Tribolium castaneum: one gene and its partners. The protein of the gene in region 3 purifies or fractionates together with the protein of the main gene of each other region. This does not show direct contact. Links are inferred from orthologs where the notes say so. Each region holds a gene or a part of one and is shown on either strand. Other genes may lie near its edges.

What was found.
Region 1: the proteins of armadillo segment polarity protein (region 3) and CrebB purify together in Homo sapiens (affinity purification with western blotting; 3 studies listed by BioGRID). This does not show direct contact. The link is inferred for Tribolium castaneum from reciprocal best matches to the Homo sapiens genes CTNNB1 and CREB1.
Region 2: the proteins of armadillo segment polarity protein (region 3) and hyd purify together in Homo sapiens (affinity purification with western blotting; 3 studies listed by BioGRID and IntAct, with this or other methods). This does not show direct contact. The link is inferred for Tribolium castaneum from reciprocal best matches to the Homo sapiens genes CTNNB1 and UBR5.

Annotation. Positions count from the first base shown.
Region 1 is NC_087395.1:6,453,005-6,456,933, forward strand, and holds the start of CrebB (cyclic AMP-responsive element-binding protein 1), read right to left. Parts: upstream 2,801-3,929; 5' UTR 2,643-2,800; intron 2,637-2,642; exon of another isoform or gene 2,537-2,636; coding exon of another isoform or gene 2,501-2,536; intron 1-2,500.
Region 2 is NC_087398.1:9,888,666-9,892,957, forward strand, and holds the start of hyd (E3 ubiquitin-protein ligase hyd), read right to left. Parts: upstream 2,801-4,292; coding exon 2,605-2,800; intron 2,528-2,604; coding exon 2,408-2,527; intron 2,360-2,407; coding exon 2,109-2,359; intron 2,062-2,108; coding exon 1,792-2,061; intron 1,743-1,791; coding exon 1,463-1,742; intron 1,415-1,462; coding exon 1,307-1,414; intron 1,086-1,306; coding exon 818-1,085; intron 766-817; coding exon 546-765; intron 499-545; coding exon 132-498; intron 66-131; coding exon 1-65. Other genes in the region: E3 ubiquitin-protein ligase hyd-like, read right to left, coding at 2,969-3,241, 3,292-3,473, 3,523-3,704, 3,852-4,218. UniProt on the Homo sapiens protein: E3 ubiquitin-protein ligase involved in different protein quality control pathways in the cytoplasm and nucleus. Mainly acts as a ubiquitin chain elongator that extends pre-ubiquitinated substrates.
Region 3 is NC_087395.1:16,178,640-16,182,139, reverse strand, and holds part of armadillo segment polarity protein, read right to left. Parts: intron 2,399-3,500; coding exon 774-2,398; intron 1-773. UniProt on the Homo sapiens protein: Key downstream component of the canonical Wnt signaling pathway.

The DNA.
Region 1 (3,929 bases), about 9.7 Mb from region 3:
ATTGGAGCTTATCGAAGTCATAAATACCAAATATTTGCGACGAAGTAAGTCTAGTTATTATAATTAATTATTATCAAAACGTTAATTTCTTTTTAACCTAGTCTTTGGGAAAAATTCCTGCATCATTTGTAGAGAAATACTATTTGTGTTTTTAAAAACCGCTTAATTTATGGGTTGCATATCCAAATTTAGAGACGATTTCACGTGGGACAGTAAGGAAAAGTATGTAGAATAACTACTCAACTATTGACCTTTAAATGTTAACAATTAAAAAAATATACGTTAAAGACACATACAGGGTAAATCACTCATGGATTATTTGTAATGTTTTTAGATACAACCAATAATAATAATACTAGAATAATACTTATTTTCAGCTACAGATTTCTAGCTGCCCAGATCAGCCAACGTTCAAAATTTCAAAATTAATACACGATTGCGTTATTCTAAGTATTTTCAAGTTTGTCTTTATTATAGTCTATTATTATTTAATCGTCATTTTATCTTAAATACATTTTATTTTTCGAATTATTGGACTCTACAAGGCTTAAAATTACTTTAAATCTATTAAAAATAATCTGACGTTTCGTATACAGAAATGCCAAACATTTTTCAAAACTTCCGTACACAGAAGAAAACCATAAATTTTGACCGAAAGAAAGACATAAAAGACAAAATACCAATCTTGATTCAATTAATGTTTTAAAAATCAAATGTTGAAAACAAAAGTTGTTAAAGTAATTATAATTAATTAGTATTTTTGGTTGCGTCTTAGGACATGATAGTCAGAAATAACCTATAAATAAATCATCTTTTATATTCATTCACTCATTCACCACATCATCTAAAAAAATAATTTTCAAGTTTGTAATTTTAAGTCTTCAAAAATGAGTTACAACATTTTTGCATTTATTAGAATTTCTAATAATGTATTGAATTTGTTGTGTTTGCATAGTTTTTGAATTAAATTGATACAAACTACTCTTTATTAAAAAAATTATTACTAATCATTACTCAATAACAATAACAGAAAAACCTTTGTAAAACAGAAAACACTTGTTTAAGTTCACTTTTCTTTATTTTTGTATGAGTTATAAGTTATAAGGTATTTTTTACGAATTTAATTTCTCTTGATTCTACTGATCAAAGCTAGATCGGCGTTGTCTGCAGTCCCTTAACTCCTCTTAAAATACTGAAAAAAAAGTAGTAAAACGAAAAGTAAGTTTCACTAAATAAACTAAATAAAGAAAAGAAATACATGTTCAGTATGAATTTTCACCGAAAAACAAATGTTTTTCAGAAACAATTTTTATGTATTTTAACATGAAATCTATGTAACTTAATCCTAATCATCAACTAACAAAAAAATTTGCAGTTTTTTGAAAGGATGAACAAAGCTAGAGAAGGCAATCTAATTTCTCAAAGTTTGTAATCAAGTTCGTATTGGAATATGTATTGTTGATTGCATTTTACAGGCGCAGGCCTCGTAAACTTACGTGAACAACCTTGTAGTAATTAAAAGACAAGTGTGACATTTAAAAATAAAGTAAAAAGAATTATATTCCTATCCATTTTATTATTGTCGTTTTATTAATAATTATTAAAGAACAGTTATGTTGTTTTTTTATGAAAAAATACTACAAAACTATCAATTTCTCAACCCGTTAACAACAGAAATTTAAAATTTGATAAAAACTGATCTGTGAGGTAACGTTTTTTTTATAGGAACAACATGCTATTGAAAAAAAATGTTTTCTTTTATAATTTTCCCTAAAAATTTAATTTAAAATTTTTCATTCGATTAAATTTAACCTTAAGTGACAGCTGTCATGTAACAAGGCCTTCTTGAACGATACATTATTTTATTAAAAATTGCTATTAGAGGTAAATGAATACAGTTTTTTTACTTGCTAAATCCAGACTTTACTTATAGTGTAATATTTGACACCAAAACTACTTGGTTTTTATTAATTATAATTATTACAGGTGTTTAGGATTTGTCCTCGATGTATTGTTGGTTGCAAGTTAATTGGGATTATACACTTCAGGTACCACGATTATTGATAAATCGGCGTAAAACTGCGTTATAAATTGAAAACGGTTGGAAAACAAGGAGACTGTTATTATGTAAGCAAAACAAAGTTGCAAATTAGCTTGTCAATTGATTGCAAGTGAATTTGGACTAAAATTATCCATAAATAGTTATGAAGCGTTAGAGATGGATTTTGAAGCTATAATAAAAAATGTTGATGCGTCCGTGGAAATGTCAAATCTGACAGTGTTAGATCCTAACCCCAATCTAATAATTTAAAATCAAAGCAGTCTATTTAACATGACTAAGCAAATCACAGCAAGCCTTGAGCCACGGCACGACGTTTTGACAGCAGCACTGGTCAAAAAAATGTCGAAAACCGTCGAAAGAATAAAAAGTGTGTCCGTCCGTGTGCGTATATTTCTAAAATTAAAACAAACGCGAGCAATATGACGCCATATTCAATACCTTTTCCAATAAACTCGCAAAACACCTTGTCGACATTTTAAAAGCGTCCGCACAAAACACTGCCAATACTCGAATCACCACCTTCGAAGGGATGTCTGGACCACGTCGGCACGGTGTTATTATTCTTCAGCTGGGTACTTACCAGTTACGTATTCGTCGTCACCGAGTTTGAAGCGATCGGAGTGGGTAAGCGGGCTATACGTAGTAACCACGTCAAAATTTCTGGGCGGTCGTCACTGGACGAGAACAGAACACAAGTGCGCGTCACAGCAATGGCGCCCGAGAGCGCGCTTGCAGCCTCCTCTCGCACCGCACTCCACGTCTCGCCCGCGATCCCTTCGACGACGACGGCCTCCGTGCCATGGCTTGACCCATGTGTGAGGCTGGAAAGGAAAATCGTGGATTTTCGCGGCGAAAATCTTTGAATTTTTTTGACATTTCCATGGTCAAAGGCAACTTGATCGTTTGCGAGTGCTATTTTCAACAGCTGATTTGAAAATTTTCCAAGTTGAGTGGAATCGTTTTGAAATTTTTCCACGGTTTTCGCCAGTGATGCAATGACAGGATGGTTCCATTCATTTTCGGTGTTTTTCTTAAAGAATCTTTCATTTAGCATTTTTTGAGCACATTTCAGTGGCGTATCACAACAATAACGTTCCTCCTACATCCTCCATGAAGCAGTTTAAATTGTTGAATATACAACAAGATTGGTGTGTACGTATTATCTCATTTTACAGTTGTACCCATGTGGACTAGTCCGACGAGTTAACTATTTAAAAAGTAATTAAGTATTCTTTCAGATTCTAAATATTTTCAGAAAACAAAAAATAAGTGTCTGAATTTGATCTAATTCAAATCCCTCTCATTCTCATTACTCATTCGTTTCTGCAAAGTGCAAATGTTCAGAATATCGAACCCATTAGATTATGATGAAGCCCGAAGAATGGTAGAGTCCGAGCACCTAATAATGACGCTCTAAACAGTTAGCACATTTTTTGTTAATTCTTCATTTTTGAAATCTTTATAATGTGAAATGTTGAAGACGAATTTGATTACTTTGTTATCATTGTGATCTTTATTTAATCTTGTATTCTCCGACTGACAATGTGTTTTCCGAACTTTTTGAGCCGGGAGTGGTTAAAAAGAAGAATAGTAAACAAAATGCTTTTTTTACAACAATTGGATTTTGCTCTTACAAAATAATAACAACGGTGAGCCAAAAATTTTGGGCACTTTGTCATTGTTAAAAAGGATAGGGAATTACACACGTTTATTTCAACGAAATGTCAAAGATGTCCGAAATTTTTTGTTCCCCACCACAGTTCAGTAACACCTTAATTAATTTGTACTCGAGTTGTAATAGTGTTATGTATGATGGATATAACGTATAAAAAAAATTGATGTCATTTTTTCTGAATTATTGGGAAAA
Region 2 (4,292 bases), on a different chromosome or scaffold from region 3:
GCACTCCAAAGCTCGACGACTGAATCTGGGAGGCTCTAAATCATGCTCGGGCATATCGGTCTCAACTGAAACAGAAGGAGAATACACAAACGGACAGTTAATACGAGTCAAATAAGAATAAAGAGTCTCACTATCTGAAGAAGGTGTTTTATTTCGGGAATTTGCCGATGCCGTCCTGGGCCTGGTGTGACGAAACTGTCGCTGTTCTTGATTTTGTCGACCAACAGTTTGGACCAAAAACAGCAAGATACTTTCGCCGCGTGAATTCGGCAAACAGACGAGATCGGTTTCTTTAACCAAACGTGTCAAAAGTTCGTAACGGACCGTTTGGTTCCCCATTATCAATGCTTTGCATTTACATTTCTCCCAGCAGTCGCAGTAAGCCGTAGGCGAAGTCCTTTTTAACTTGCAATCGTGGCCTTTGTGGCAAACACGCGCACACTCCGTACAGCAGCAAAGCGTTCCGGTGAGGCCACAAGTGCGACATTCAAAAATATCCTACAATTTTAATTACAAAAACTATTTTTTTTCGTACCATGTCTTACTTGATTGATGTGTTCGGCCCCAGTCCAGGTAAAACTACACGTGTCGTTGCAGCACAGAACATGCAGAGGTGAGTGATCCGGATTTGAACCTTTCGGAAAGATCATCTCTTCGCGTTCCTGAGGAGTCCCCAATTTAATGATTCTTTCGAAAATTTCCAACGCGGCTGGATAACTTCGCGACGATACGGCCAACATGAACGGAGTTTGACCTTGTGCATCCCTAAAACCAATCCCAATGGTTATTTAATCAAACTCGCAGAGAAAAAAATTACTTTGCACATAAAAGCTCGATGAGATGCGACTCCAAAGCCGAGGAATCATACAAAAGCGCGTGTAAGATTTGCATCGCGTTTGATCGTCTTTCAACTGGATCGACGACGAGATTCGTCGGTGCGTTACTGTTGTTTCCGCTCCCTTTATTATTGGCAGCACTGCTTCCCAAACCCATCAGACTATCCTCATCGCCTGACGTAACATCGAAGCTTTCCGGTGGCCAACTGTGTGTCGGTATCGGTTCTTCTTGGACGAAACTGTGCTGATCTGCAGAGTTAGAAGTATTGTTGAGTGCGCTTTCGCTACGTACAACGGCTCTACGCATCATATCGCGTAGCGTAACTGATCGAGGGCCTACGGCGTTCGTTATCACATTGATACATTCCAGGCCAGCTGACGGGTCTGGAAATGACGATCCCAACAAATCAAGCTACGCACGCGACTTGAGCCTAACGTAATCACCTAAAGCATAAATTTGGCCAACTCACCGCTTTCAGTTTCCTTGTTCGACGTCGGCGTACACATGTTCACAACAGCGTGGAAAATGTTACGATTGCCGTCGCAACGTTCGTTTAAGATATTCGAAATGTTGGCTTCTGAAAATTTTTCATCACAATATCACACGGGAAAATAGTAAAACTTACTCAAATCGCTGTCTAGTTGGGCCAAAACTTGCCGGACGCCATCAATATCACAACGTAGTATTTTCGGCATGAGTAGTTGTTGTTCAAGTGCAAAGACAACAATAGCCACTTGATTCTTCATGTTGAGGCCGGTTCCAGTCAAACCAAATGTACCAGCTGTCAGGCACTTGACTGGAGGCAAGTCTAGACATTGTGGGTCGCGAATCGCATCGGCGCAATCTTTACTGAGGGGGTAAATCGTGCTGTTACCGTCGCGCAAAACCAAAATTGTTTCAGAACTCTGAAATACAAACAATGTAACAATCAGGCAAACACTACAAACGACATACTTCTCCAGCACAAATCAAGTTGATCAAATGTGGATAGAGCCCCATGAACGAAGCAGTGTCGCTCGGAAATGGATTATCTTGTTCAATTCTTCCGCTACTGACGTTGTAAACGACATAACTCAATTTACTCCCGTTCCGAACTATGGCATGTATGCCTTGTCCATCAACGGCAATCGTGAGAATTTGATTGCTATTGTCGGAAATTTGGATACGTCGAGGTGTTTTTTGAAAACAGTCAGGAACGCGTGAATTAGACGACGATTTGATCACCTACAAAACACAAATAATTTTGACCGAAACCAAATTATTGTTCATACTTGGAGGTCGTCCTTGCGCATCAATCGACAATCTTGGAAAATATCGTCGGCATCTTTGGCGTCACGATCTCTGGAATGTCCACTTGGAAATCTGACGGCGGCGTAAGCACCGTCCACTTTCAAAACGCGACCTGCTGGAACACTTCGTACATCTTCCACGAAAATTACATTCCGTAGAAGCCACTCCTCTTCGTCTTTTCTTTGCTCCGAACCGGTGTCGCTCCCAGACACGGTCATGCGTTTTTGGCGCTCTTTAATTGTTTTATTAATTGGTTTTACAATAACTGTAGAAAACTTACTGTGACTGTTTGAAATACTTCCGGTATCGCTGCAAGTACTCGAAGCCGGCGATGGTGGCGGTGGCATATCAAGCCTATCGGCGTTTTCTTTATTCGACGAACTTTTATTTGTTAAATTCGCTGCAACGAACATTAACCCCGTAAACATTTAAGTCCAGTACAGATAAAATAGTTTATAAATATCAAAAAAGACTTACATAACCCGCTAGGGCCCGGCACGGCATCTCTCCCCTTATCGGCACTCGAAGCTCCACTCGTTTGCACGTTGATAATCTTAAAAGTGCAAGTATCGCTCAACGTCCAAGCCGCATTCTGTAATTGGCCCACTTTTGGTACTCCATTGGCGATGGTAAACCCTATCGCACCCGCTTGATACATGGGACTGTTCTTCATACAAACTTGCGACCCAGTAACGATCTCTGATTGATTGTTTGAAGGTCTTTGTTTCCGGCACTTTGTACGGTATTTCTCCCACAATCGTTTGCGTTGAGCAAACGGTTAAAACGCCCCTTTAATCAATTTTTTTAGCAAAATGGGTCAATAATATACGTGAATCAATACTCACCACCAGTACAAAGCACCACTTTCAAGCTTCGCAACCGTGTACAACGGACACGTGTACAAAGCTGCAACCTTGTCAGTTTGAAACTCGGAATAGGCCTGAGCTGAATGTTCCAATTTAGCTGCTGCTGGCGCCAAAAGCTCGTCTAACCAAGTGGCGACTTTGCCGCTTTCGGTTGAGACCGAGCAACGGGTGCAACAAGCCGAGAGATGGACGATTTTTTCGCCCATTAGACCCAAAGGAACTGTCTTGGGGTGATGTATGTTACAATTCTGGAACGAATAAATGCATTTCGGTTGGTTTCAAGTGTCTATGAACGTACCTCTGGATGTCTGTAAGGTTCGGGGTCGTTCCAACGCCATTGAAACAATTGTCCGTTACTCGACAATGCGATTAATTCCGAGTAGAGACTCGCAATTTGGACGAATTTCGGTGCAGAATCGGGCCAAAATTCCAAGTCGTCGGAAATCCAAAGTGGACACGCGCTGTCTTTCTTCTTGTGATCTAAATTTGGTATTTAATGTCGTATTCAATAAAAATCACTAGCACCAACCTGAATCTTTTTCGTACGGACTTTCCCTTAGTGCCGTTTCAAGCCACCTCCTAGGTCCGAAATACTGACGATCTCTCCACCTCGAAAAATTCTCTCTGTCTCGATCTGAATTCGAACTATTGCTCGGTGGTGCATCTCTGTCGGCCAATCGACTCCTTCCACTGCCGCGACTATTAAGGAAGCTTGTTTGAGCAAAGTCAAACATTCCCAACGAGTTAGTTAAAATGCAAAAAAAATAGAAAAAAATGCAAGCGATAGAGTTGTTAACCAACAAAAAAAGCGCAACTACACAAAAAGCGAGTCAAACAGATCAAACCAAAAATCCTTACTTCCTAATGCCCGAATATCCAAACATATCTTCGGAAAACATCGCATCAGCATCGATTATCACCGAATGATCGGTATGAAACCCTCCGTCAAGCAGCGAAATTAGATCCTCTGGAACGTAAGAATCAGCTGCATCGTCTCCTTCCTCTCCTTCTTCATCATCGCGCGACAATAAATTATTAACGGCTAAATTAACATCAAGATTTGTGCGTTGCAACTCCCGTATTATCAAATTCCGGCTCTTCCCCTGAAGCACCACCTGAGCTTGCGAAACCAGCTCTTCTGGGACGTAGGGCGCTGGCACCGTCACCATCGGCCTTCCACTGCTCGAACTGCTCGTTCCTATGATAACCGGAGCACCACGACCGCCTGAAAGTAAAGGACTCTGTACATTTAAGGACGACAGAGTTAAACCAAGTATATTGCCCTGAAAAGGGTCTGGA
Region 3 (3,500 bases):
TCTAATTGCAATTCTTCATAAATAATTCCGAATATTACAAACAGTTTCAAAAAAATACTTCTACAAGCTTGCCCTTGAAGTCCAAAAATCTTACAAAAAAGAGAAGCAAATAAAATACTGAACCATAATATATTAAAAATTCAATTTTAATTTTTTATTGTGTGTAATATGTAAATCTTCAAAAGTAGAAATTGAAAAGAAATCCTGAGGTCAAGTTATCTAGACCAGAAATGGTTCTAGTTTAAAGCTCAAAGCTCTCATTTATTAGCAAAAACTTCAAATCAATAATTATATAAAACAGGCGTAAGTACTATACGAAGTAAGTTACAGAATAATAATGAGAATAAAAAAGTTTAATAAGTGAAAACAAAATAGAACCGTTAAATATTGTATACCCACCCTTAAGATCGAAAATGCTGTCGTAGCACAAGAAGAATTAAGAAAAAAAACCGGTGTTTATTAAAAGTCTCAAATATGATTGTGTCCGTAATTTAAATAAACAAATAAACTTATATAAATTGGATATTTTGTATTACGATAAAGTATGGTATTCATATTACCTAGCCAGAATGTCTTAGAATAATCTATAAACTATTCAGTTATTTTATCTTTCCAGTAAAATAGCAAAGATTCTTGGCTAATTTGTAAACTAGCCGCTATTTTAGTTGAAACTGTGTTTTCTATTAAAATAGCGAATGGTCTGACTAGTTTACAAACTAGCCAAGTTTACACACTAGCCGTAACAGATACAATAAGTAACTGCAATGTCTTACCCTCTGTGTGTCCTGGAAGGCCCTCATCAGCAGCTGCACCAAATGATGTATCGCCCCATGCTCCCTTAGTGGTGCATGATTGGCCGGACACAGCGCTAAATTCCTGATAAGCCCGATAACGGCCTTGACTAGCGGCCAACGCGATGGCGGATTCAACAACTTCACGATAACTTGAATACCGTAATTCAACCTGACTGCATTTTGCGCCATTTCCGACTCCACATGTCTCGACGTGAGATGTCGCAAAGCGCAAACGGCCGGTTCTGTGATCTCCTCACGATCCCCAGCGCTCACAATTGTGCGCACAAGGGCATCAACACCACCGACTTGGCAAACGGTGACTTTGTTGCGTTGGTTGTTACACGTCAGGTTAGACAAAATACCAGAAGCGCAAGTAACGACGTGGACGTCTTGCGAGTTCAAAACCTGCACCAGGGAACTGAGCAAGCCTTCGAGACCGTCGACTTTGGTCGCGGCATCGGAGAGGTTACGCAAGGTCCAGAGGCAGTTCTGCACGAGGCGGCCGCTGGGGTTCCCCAGGTGCATGGCCAGGGCTTGCATGCCGCCGGCTTCGACGATGGCCGGCTTGTTGCTCGGACACACGGATAGGACTTTCAAGACTCGGGACGTCGTCCAGAGCAACTTCTCGTAGTCGTACGACCGCATGATTCTCACGAGTTCGATGGGACCTTGCGATGCCAGAATAATCAGTTTGCTCTCCTGGTTGCCGTACGCCAGGATTTGCAAACAGTCGGTCACAATTGCCAAGAACTTGACGTTGTTTCGTTGCAACAACGCGACCATTTTTTGCAAGCCTCCGGCTAAGCGGACGGCCATTTTGGAGCCGTCTTGGTGAAGCAATAAATTGTGCAAGGTGGTGATGGCGTAAAAGAGCACACTTTCAACCGGGGAGCTCAGCAGTTTGACCAATGCTGGAATTCCCCCGCTTTTGAAGATGGCCAGGAGACCTTGCCGATGGTGCGATAATTTGTGCAAGGTGCCGACTGCACCTTTGGTCGTTTCCAGGTCATTCGAGTTGGAAATGGCCCTCACTAGCGCTGCCACCATTTGCGGACTGTTCATGATCGCGTGCCTCGAAGCCTCTTTCTTGGAGAGCTGGTGGACCATCATCGCGGCTTGCGAAACAACCACTTGGTCTTCGTCGTTCAATAGTTTGATCAGCTCGGGGATGGCACGAGTCGCCAAATCCGCGTCGTCTTGATAATTGATTAGATTGACGACTGCATGTTTGAGCATTTGACTCGGCTCGGAGAGCCTTTGAACGGCCGTCTGGTGGCTGGGATCGAACTGAGTCGAGGGGATTTCGATCCCTTCGTCCAAAGTCTCCGGAAACATGGCAGCTCTGACCCTCTGCGAGCGCGTCTGGTTGAGCTGGTTGTTCATTTCGTCGACCTGATCCTGGGTGAAGCCTTGGGAGTATCCTTGATCCAAGTCAAAGAGGTCCATGTCTTCTTCCTTCCCGCTCAGGGATGGTACCTGGGTGGCGGCTCCGGAGTGGATGCCGGAGTCGCCCATGTACGAGTTTTGTTGCCACATGAGGGTCTGTTCTTTCGCGGGCGGCATGGGTAAATCACCGGGGCCCCCCTGATAGTGGCTCTGCGAGACTGGACAAAAATAACTGTGTCACTTTGAGACTTACATGAGAGAAAATCCAGCTTGAATACATAGTAATGAAGGGGGTAAAAACTTGGGAGTTTATTAATGGGAACTCACGATTACAAAGTATAAGTGGATTATTAAAGAGGATGCAATCCCCTAGTACATTTGTTTGCGAGTTGTTCATGGGTTGGAAGTGACGTGGTCATTATTACGTGTTCGTGCGAAACCAACAAAGGGAATTTCAACATGTGCTGATGGTCGGGATAATCCCCTATTTGCATGAGGAAACAAAAATAAACGAATCTCATACATAATTATATTTAATAACGCTGGTAATATCCCGATAAGGACTGTTATAAGTAGCACTTTAGCTTTAGATAAGCACATGTCTCAGGCGAAAATTCTATTCTTCTCTTTCGCAACCCTTGGCATTGACTTTAAAATTCAATTTTAAACAATAAAAAAAGATTCTTAGTTATTTAACCCCGTATAATTTGAATTTGATGGACTAGTTATCAGAAGTCTTACTTATTTTTATGATGACGGGCCAGTTTCATAACCGAATTTAAAAGAGCATTAAATTAAATTATTAAAATGTGTAAAGTTTGTCAACAAATCGTAAAAACGAGCACTTTATAAGCAACATTTAATTTAATAATCCTTATTATGGTTATGAAAATGGCCCTAAGTAATAAGTTAATAACTAATAAGAATAAATTGCTGTTCAAAATTGAAAATCAAAAATGAGTGCCGCTTTTATAAAAAATAGAAAACAATTGAAATTTTCTTCACCTCTAGAAAAATAAAAATTTATATTCTAAAATAATACCAGTAATTAACTAAAGGAATAAAAAGAAATTAAATTGAAAATACGATTATTATTTTTTATACTAGTATTGTATTTTGTTATGTGATGGTCAGCAAAATAAAATGAGATCCTTAAAAGTAAAGCAAAAATAAAAAGCAAAATCGGGTACATCAAAAGTCGCAGACACACTATTGGGCCTTACTGATCAGTGACCACTAAACAAATAATAAAAAAAATTACTGCTTCTTATTGAAGATAAGTTACAAAAGTATTTATTATTTATATTTATATCGTAACAT